Macaca mulatta: one gene and its partner. The protein of the gene in region 1 purifies or fractionates together with the protein of each later gene. This does not show direct contact. Links are inferred from orthologs where the notes say so. Each region holds a gene or a part of one and is shown on either strand. Other genes may lie near its edges. The genes, in order: LRFN4 and NCK2.

Region 1 (4,581 bases):
CTGGGCCGCCCCCATGGACAGGAAGCCGGGAGGCCCGAGGCTGCTGTGGCTGCCCCCACAGGGCCCGGTAGCCCCTCCCTTGTCTGTGTGCTACCACTGGCCTGTGTCCCATCTTCCCGTCTTGGGGGACCTAGCCAGACAAGACCAGAGACTAGCATTGAGGTGTCCCCAACAATTTTATTATAAATAAAAACAAGACTCCCAATTGGTGGCTGCAGCCCCTGCCTTGGTGGCTGTGAGCACCTGTTGGAGGGACCTGCCCCTTACTCTGGTCTGGAGGCCAGAACCGAGGAAAGGGCTCCCTGCCCCGCCAAGCACACAGGGGAGCCTGAGGTACCGAGAGTAAAAACCAGGGAGGGACTCCCAGGCCAGGTGGCCGCCCTGGGCCCTCTGCCCCACGAGGCTCATCCCTTGGAGCACACAGGAAGCTGCCCGTGCATCACACCACACTCTCTTCCAGCCGCTCGGCGCTGCCTCCTACCCCCCGGCACCCTGCCCCGAGCAGCCCTCCGTGCACAGAGTGGCTCCGTCGGGCCCAGGCTCCCCCCAGGCGCCTGGCGTAACCGTAGCACCCGGCGTCTCCCAGGTCCAGAGAGCAGCTGCGCTGCGGCCGGGGCGGGGGGCTCCGTGGCGGGTGGGCCTTGGGTGTGGGGCTGGGGCCTCCATTGGTCTGGGACTGGACGTGGCTGAGCTTGAGGGGGAGGCGGCCATTCCCAGCCCCCCGGCCCCGAACCAGCAAGGCCACAGTGAAGACCAGTAAGGCAGCCACCAGCACACCCCCCACGGCCACAGTCAGGGTCCCGCCCAGCACGTGGGCCTGCAGGGCGTGGCACAGGGGTGAGGCTGGCAGCGTGGAGAAATGGGCACAGCCCAGCAGCCTGGTGGCCGTGAGGTCGGAGGGCCCAGCGGCCGGTGACAAGGCCAGCAGGCAGAGGTCATAGTCAGCGCCGGGGACCAGGTGCTTCAGCAGGAAGTGGTGGCTGGAGGCTGGGACTATCCTGCAGGCAAGGGCAGGTGGTCAGAGCTGGGGGCTGGGGTCTAGCCCCATCCTCACCTCCCCGCTCCCGTGCTCCCAGCTTCAAACACCCCTCCCCCGGGGGCCACTCGGGCTCTTGCATTTACTCAGGAAGGCAAACAGGCTCAAGAGTGTGGCCAGGAGATGGGTGTGTGCACTGGCACAGGACCCAGGCAAGCGAGGGGGATGGGGTGGGGGGATGGCACCAGCAGGGCAGAAATAACGCGTGCGGGCGCGGGCCATGTGCTTCAAACAGACCCAACCGCCACCTGCTGCCGGAGGAGGCCTGCACAGCTCAGTGACACCTGGGACATCTCATGGGGTGGGGTCCTCCTGCCACCCCTTGAGCTCCAGCCCCTCAGGCAGCCAGGCCAGGCCACTGCTCCTCCAAGAGTCCAGCAGCCATGGTCCGGGAGGGGTTTTCAGCCCCAGAGAGAGGAGGAGCGAAAGCAAAGCCTTGTGGGGAGCAGAGGGCGGAGGGAGGGCACCAGGAGTGCAGCCGGGTGTGGGGCGCATGTTCTCACCGGTAGATGAGCGTCTCATCCTCGCTGCTGTTGTACTGGATTTGGAACATCCACACTGGGTCTGCTGGCCGCCCAGGACCCCAGCTCACCAACCCTGACGTGGCGGTCACCTCCGTCACCTGCACGGCTGGCTCAGACTCCAGCGTCCCCTCACCCTCGGCAGCAGTGCGAGCCGAGGCGGCGATGTCCGAGGGCCCGGGGCGGCCCCCCTCAGCGCTGGTGTTCCCACCGTGGGGCAAGGCCAGGACCCGCAGTTCTACTCGGGCCGTGGCCTCACCAGCAGGGTTGGTGGCGATGCAGGTGTAGCCCCCAGCATCCCCAGCGCCAGTCACCCCAATCTCTAAGGTCCCGTTGGGGAAAGCCCGGGCTCGGGAGGAGTTGCCAACCAACCGGTCATCAGGACCAACCCAGTGCATGGTGGGCGCGGGGTCACCCAGGGCCCGGCACCGCAGTGTGGCCCGCTGGCCTTCCAGCACCCAGAGGCGCTGCGTGTGGCGGGCAATGAGGGGCGGCTCGCAGGAGAACTCGCCCTCAGGCACTGCCCAGAAGTAGCGGCCGGCCAGGCCGGGCGGGGAGGCGCAGGTCTCCAGGTCGTCCGGCCGCGCCAGCCGCCGCAGCCACAGCAGCTCACAGTTGCAGTGCAGGGGGTTCCCGCTGAAGCTCAGCACCAGGGGGGCGGGAGAGGCCTCTGCCTCACGCCCACGAGAGAAGAGCGGATCCGGAGCCAGCGTGGCCAGGCGGTTGGAGGTGAGGTCCAGGCGGGAGAGCTGACCGAGCTGGGCGAAGGCGCCTGGGGGCAGTGCATCAATGAGGTTATGGTCCAGGTTGAGGGTGTGCAGGGCAGGCATGGCGCCGATGCCGGCCCAGGGCACCTGCCGGAGGTTGTTGTAGGACAGGTCCAGGTCCTCCAGGCTCTCGAGGAAGTCGTCAAAGGCTCCTGGCGCGATGCGTCCCAGCTGGTTGCCGCTGAGGATGAGGTGCTGCAGGTTGACGGGGCCCCGAAGGCTGCCTGTACCCAGCTCCACCAGCCTGTTGCCATCCAGGTGCAGGGAACGAAGGCTCTCGAGGTCCCCAAAGGCGCGGGCCCCAATGCGGGTGATGGCATTACGCGACAACGTCAGGTCCACCAGCCCTGTCATGTTGCGGAAGTCAGGGGGCCCCAGGGCCTGGATAAAGTTGTCAGCCAGTCGCAGCTCCACTGTGCGCCGGTCCACGTTGGGCGGCACAAACAGCAGGCCTCGGTGGGCACAAAGGGTGCTGAGCGACTCGGACAGGTTCTGGCAGACGCAGGGCAGCGGGCAGGCGGCCGCTCCACTGGCCAGCAGCAGCAGCAGGAGCGGCGGGGCCATGGTGAGTGCCCTGTAGGGAAGGGCCACAGCCCGGGCACAGGTGGGGCTGGCGCAGGTGCCCACTTGGGCCCAGGACAGTCCCAGAAGCCAGCTTCTGTGAGCCTGGCCCGGGGAGGGGCTGGGTCAGAGGCCCAAGAGGGCCGCCAGGGATGAGGGAAGGTTGGGGCCTGCAGGGCCAGGCCCCCCAGAGCAAAGGTCACATTTCCCAAGCAGTTAAGGGGGAGTCCAGGGGCTGGGCACAAGGTGAGACATGAGGCAGGAAGCGGAGGAGGACGGAGAGCAGGGAGGGTCCCGGAACTTCCTTTCCCAGGCGTTCCCAGGAATCGCCAGTCCCCTCCCCCCTCCGCGCCATCCCCTCCCCCGCCAGAGAAGGCGCCCCCCGAACCTCCCGTGGAGTCCGTGTCCCCACCCAGGCCGGCCCCCGCGCTGCGCCCGGCGGCCCCCTCACCTGGTGTCCGTCGCTCAGGGGGCGCGGGCCGGCCTCCCTGCGAGCCCGGCCGGCCCCCGCCGACTCCTGGCCGCTCTCCCGCGGGGGCGAGGCCCGGGGATGACCGGCCGCCCGCCGCCCACCCTCGGGCCCATGGCGCTCGGGCCCGCGGCCCCGGCTCGCTCGGTTCCCGGCACCTTTTCCCAGCGCGGTTCGCGGTGGCGGCGGCGACAGGCGAGCGGGTGCGCGCCGGCGGGCGCGCGCGCCGTGGACACGCACGTGGAGGGCGGACGGGGAGGGGCGCGCGGGGATCCACCCGGGCCCGGGCCGGCTCCTGAGGTCACGGGGACACGCGGCTGCTGCAGCGCCCACGGGTGGCACCCAGTCACGCCCGAGGCCCAGGCCGGCGCGGGCCCGCCGCGCTGCCCCCCGGCGCTGCCGCAGCGCACTCACCCTGGCACAGGCGCGCGCGCCCCCGGCCACCCTGGCGCCCCGGCATCCTGCACCGCACGGGCGCCCGCCGCCGCGGCGCGAACCTCACTCTGCAGCCAGCCAGACAAAGCGCCTGCTCGCGGACCCCTTCACCATCTCCCGAAGACGGGAGTCTTTGTCACATGTCGCTGGGCACCCTCCCCAGCACACCCACACATGCCCACACACCCACACGTCCCTGCACCCACGGGCAGGGCCGAGCGCAAACCCGCACTGTTGCTGGGACCCTCGCGTTCACAGACACACGCTGAAGGTCATAACCGTTCTGCATCACCGAGTCACGTGGAGGGTCCCCAACCGGCACGGGGTTCGGCCGTGGGGGGGCTGGGGCGGCCCCACTGGCAAGGCTGCTGCGGGGTGGGGCCGAGAGGGCTCGGCCTCTGGGCAGGCGCCCCGCCCCCGCCGCCCCGCCCTGTCTCTGCTGCCTCTCCCTCCCTCCCCAGCTGCCCCGCCCGCCCCGCCGGCCAGGCGTTCCGAGCCAACCGGCCTCCGCCTCGGGCCGGATTGGTCTGCGCGGCGCGGCTTCGCAACGGCCGGGGGCACGCAGTGGGAAGCTGTGCGTCCTCGCAGCGCCTTCAGCCCCTCCTTCCCGCTCTGTCCCCGCCGGGCCATTTTCCTGGAAGAGCGGCTCGGAACCAGCTCGGCTCAGAGAAAGGGCTCCCGGCGTGAGGTGGGGGAGGTTCCTTGCTTCCTGGTGGAGAAAGCTGGGGCTTGGGGGGCTTGGGTGGCTCGGCGAGCCTGGTCTCCTTCCAGCTGCCCGCCACCACCAGCGGT
Region 2 (4,296 bases), on another chromosome or scaffold:
TTAGGGCCTTTGAAAACGTGCCATGAAGTACTTCCATCACACATTTTAGGAAAGAGAAACCATTTGGAAGTGCCACTTGCCATCCCTCTGGATGGGAAAACTAATTTCCTAAGCCTCTGAAGTCAGTTGTGGGGAGTTTCCAGTTCACTTGTGAAAACAGTTTTCCCAAACATCGCTCATCATCCTCCCCTGCAGTTCCGGGAAGCAATTTTGGGCTCTTGTCATTAAGCCTCATTTTTAATGTCAGAGAATGAATTCCACAAGCCTTGTCTCCCCCAGTGCACATGGCAAGCCAGTCCGAGCAGTTAGAAAAATGGGTGTCCCATAGAGCAGCACAGCCTGCTCTAGCCAGGGCAAATTAAGCTAGCTCAACTGATCAAGTAAAGGACTCCAGTACATTCTGCGCCATTCGCGGAGTCTTAGGGTATTTTAAAAGGTTATCCAGTCTGTGCACATGCAAGGAAGATTTCCGGTGTATTTAAAATGGATGATAGTGCATTTCTCAAATATAGTACTGTGTACATAAGATCTGCTGTTTGTTGGAAAAGCTAAATAACCCAAAATGTAAATGACAGAGCCTGGGAATATGTCAGGGTCAAAGAGAGCAGGGATGAAGAAGATTTAAGTATGCAGCGCGTCCTAAGCAAAACACAAAGCCTGAAAACTGAGCACAGCCACCTGCAAGGCACCTTCAGCGAGCCCCACGGTTAACAGGGTCAGTTTCTCCACAAGTGGACAGAGGGGCTTATGCAGCAGCCAACTCTTCCTGATGGTAATTTGTGACCCAATTTCATCCAGTGTTTCATGATCAATCCCCCTGAATGTTTATGAAGCAGGAAAGAAGCTCAGAATCCAGGAGAGGCCTCCCGGACAGGAAGTGGGCCAGGCACCTCCACAGCTTCCTATGCCTAAAGTTCTCCATTTCAGCCTCAAGTAGCCACCAGAAGACCACTAAGATTCCGCCACCTTCTCCAATCAAAACTACATCTAACCAACCTCCAGGGGAGAATATACTGAGGTAGGATTTTCCCTTGTGTTCACTTCTTCACAAGCAAGGTTAACACTTGCTTCTCAGGAAATCCCTGTTCCAAACATCAAAAAACTTCCATGTCTAGCCCAATCTCCAGGTGAAGTCAATTTCTTCTCCACGTGTCCGATGACCGCCATTCTCTTTACATAAAACTCGCATAGGCTTGAATCCTGTTACTAATTCACCTGCTTATCTATGAAGCTTGGAAAGTGAATTGAGGGAGTGTTCACAAGCACAGTTCCGTTTCGGTAAGGTAAAGCAGCCCAGGTTAATTTCATTTTCCGTCACTTTTGAGACTTGATAACTACATCTAAAACAGAGGCATGAAAAACACCCTGAATCACTTTCATTACTACACAAAATCCCTTCCGAGAAGCGGGGACTGGGCCTGGGCCAGGAAGGGACTCCCCTACCTGTGGGTCCCACCAAGCCACGCCCACCGGCCTCTCAGGGTGGTTTCTTTCTGGGTCGAGGGATGGAGCTGGCCCATGCGATATTTTAGGCCCCCTCCTGCCCACACTGGGGCCTGCTCATCCCATTATGCATATGCAAACTTGGCAGAAGCGGCCTTAAACCTGTTGGCAAAATAAACAAAGCCAAATAAAGAGGAATCTGCCAACCTGAATTGTGAGAAGTGACCAAGGCCGACTACACGACTCCACGCCCGCTCGGCTTTGTCCCTGAAGCTGCTACAAAACTAGTTTAAGTCAGGTGCCTGGGGTCCACCAGCCAATGACCCCTAGCATCCAGCGCAGACCTTCACAGAGATCCTTATTGTCTACAAATTACAGCGTTTTGCAAATTAAACCCCTCCCCACAATGCCAAGCTAACTGTGCTCATAAGGGAGTTACCGTCCATGCCTTAAAACTCACACATCAAATTTTTCCAAAACCACTGGGTGATTAAATCGCCCTGAAAAACACCGAGAGGGCCGAGCGGTTGTGAGAAACTTTGGTTCAGGTGGCTGTAAGAGTCCTGTAAATCTGGGGCAGGGCGCAGAGCCTGAAGCCGGGCACAAAAGCTCCCTTCGCCGAAGCGAAGACCTCCTTTATGCGATGTGACAGCAGCTTTGTGCGCGATCATAAATAGTTGTAATAAACACAGTTAAGTTCTCCCGGCCGATCGCGGCCTCCCCGGTCCCTGCGCCGGGGCCCTGCGATCCGCGGCTATTCTTCCCCGGCACACGCGCCCTGGCGACCCTGGCCACCGCACGGTCCCACGCTAGCCCCGAGCTCCGTGCCAGCCGCCCGCCCGCAGGCCAGGCGCAGCCTGCGCACCCGGGGGTCTCCAGTCCCCGGGCCCCGCCGCCGGGCCCCCTGCCCTGATCCCCGCCCGCGCCCTTGGCTGGCGTCCCCGCCTCTGCGCCGGGCCGCGATGGTGGGGGTTGGGGATGGGAAGGCGGGCAGGAAGGTGCCGAGCCGGGAGATGCCCGGCAGCCCACAGTCGGGGGCGCCCAGGCCGCGGCGGGGCCGAGAGTACCGGTGGGGCGCGGAGGCGACCCGCTCTCGCAGCCCCTTCCCGGGCGCACCCCGGCCCACGAGCCCCGCCGCGCTCCCAACTCCGCCCAACGACCCCAAGTTTGTGGCCCCCTCCCCGCGCCCGCCTGGCCGTGCTTACCTCGCTGTGGGCCGCCCGCGGAGCCGGAGGGCAGCGGCGCGGGTCCCGGGGCGGCGGCCGCGCTGCGCCCGCCCAGGCGCCGCTCTTTGTCTGCGCCGCTCCCTCCTCCCGCCGCCGGGCGGACGCTGCCGGCCCGGGCGGACCCCGCCGGCCCGGGCGCCGCGAGCCTCCCCGCAGCCGAGCCCTCCCCTCCGCCCGCCGTCCGCTCGGCCGCGCGGCTCCGGCCTGACGATCCCCGCGGCGGCGGCGGCGGCGGCGGCGGCGGCGGCGACCCTCCCCCGGCGCGCAGCGCCCGCCTCCTCCGCGCTCTTCCTCCTCCTCCCGCGCTCCTCCCCGGCAGCGCCGTGACGCCGCCCAGGGGCCGGCCCAGGCCCGGGCACGCGGGGCGGGGCGGGGACCCGAGACCCACCTGGGGCGCCCCCCGGCGCCGCCAGGCTCCGCGCCCGGGTCTCGGTACGGGCGCGGGTATAGCGCGGGGCTGCGGGACGCTCCGCTCTGGAGGCGCAGCACTGGCCCGGCGCCGGGGACAGGAAAGGGTCCCCACGCCCGAAATTGCGCGCGGGCGGTGGGGGGCAGGCTGGGTGGGTGGGGAGGAGAGTGAAAACATAGGCTGCAACTTCCAGCCTGGGATGCCTGCCGGGTGGGCTTTGCGTCCTCTTGTTTGTTTGTTTGATGTCCTTATCGCGAAGCTGTAGTTGCTGGGCAGCCGCCCCCCTCCCGGAAGCATTCCCACGGCACTCAGCTAAGCAGGCCTGGTGTCCATCAGAAAAGTGACTTAAATAAAAATGTCACTTCCTCCTTGTAATTGCTTGTGGGCATTTTTATTTATTTGTCTTGCATCTATTTACTTTCCCAACCAGACACGTTTTTAGTCCATCATCCCTGTCTGAGGCACTTCCTAAAGGGAGAAGAAACTCGACCTCTGTTGCCTCCCAGGCATCCAGGCCAGCCCCAGCCAGTGGAATCCTGGTTGCACACCCATGGGGACAGGATCCGAAGAGGAGCTGCCCGAATGTGCCCCTAGAAGGAGTGTCGCTAATGATGGGACTGTTCAGCTCACCCAGCCTCAAGTTGTGGCTAGCCTATAAACAAACTTGGAAGATTAAAACCCAAAAGCAAGGGGAAAGACGCAAGTTTCCCTTTCACAGACACATGCATCCGGATGTCTTTTCTCCTCCCCATATGGTTTCCCAAAGGAAATCCTAATATTCAAATGATTCTGATTTCCTGGCAGGATAGCCTGCATCCATGTTAATGAGATTCTTTCTTAGGCTGCTGGTCTCTGCTTACTATTAAGACAATAATAATTTATCCAAGGTTACAAGGCAGTATTATTTGATTCAGTCATCTGCTTCCTTCCAGAAAGGAAGTACCCAAGGACAGGTAACTAGAGTCAGTGTAGCTTTGAAGTCAGACAGGTGAGTGTTTGTTGACTTCCTGAACTGTGTAACCTTGCACAGGTGGTCTTAGCCTTTCTAACATCTGTCAAATGGGGAGATAATATTTACCTACCTCCTATGTGAAGGACTCTGGCAGTAGGTAGCCCTCAATAGCTCAGTAAGTGGAAGAAGGCACAGTACACTGAGCAGGGATCAGGTACAAGCTCAGGGAATCAGGACAGCCTCCCTTTTCCTTGTTTTGATCCTGT

What was found.
Region 2: the proteins of LRFN4 (region 1) and NCK2 purify together in Homo sapiens (co-immunoprecipitation; 3 studies listed by BioGRID and IntAct, counting the BioPlex papers as one, with this or other methods). This does not show direct contact. The link is inferred for Macaca mulatta from reciprocal best matches to the Homo sapiens genes LRFN4 and NCK2.

Annotation. Positions count from the first base shown.
Region 1 is NC_133419.1:7,545,813-7,550,393, forward strand, and holds LRFN4 (leucine-rich repeat and fibronectin type-III domain-containing protein 4), read right to left. Parts: upstream 3,037-4,581; intron 2,899-3,036; 5' UTR 2,889-2,898; coding exon 1,540-2,888; intron 999-1,539; coding exon 440-998; 3' UTR 158-439; downstream 1-157. Other genes in the region: uncharacterized protein LOC144334105, read left to right, coding at 3,139-4,476. UniProt on the Homo sapiens protein: Promotes neurite outgrowth in hippocampal neurons. May play a role in redistributing DLG4 to the cell periphery.
Region 2 is NC_133418.1:13,841,852-13,846,147, reverse strand, and holds the start of NCK2 (cytoplasmic protein NCK2), read right to left. Parts: upstream 2,876-4,296; 5' UTR 2,649-2,875; intron 1-2,648. UniProt on the Homo sapiens protein: Adapter protein which associates with tyrosine-phosphorylated growth factor receptors or their cellular substrates. Maintains low levels of EIF2S1 phosphorylation by promoting its dephosphorylation by PP1.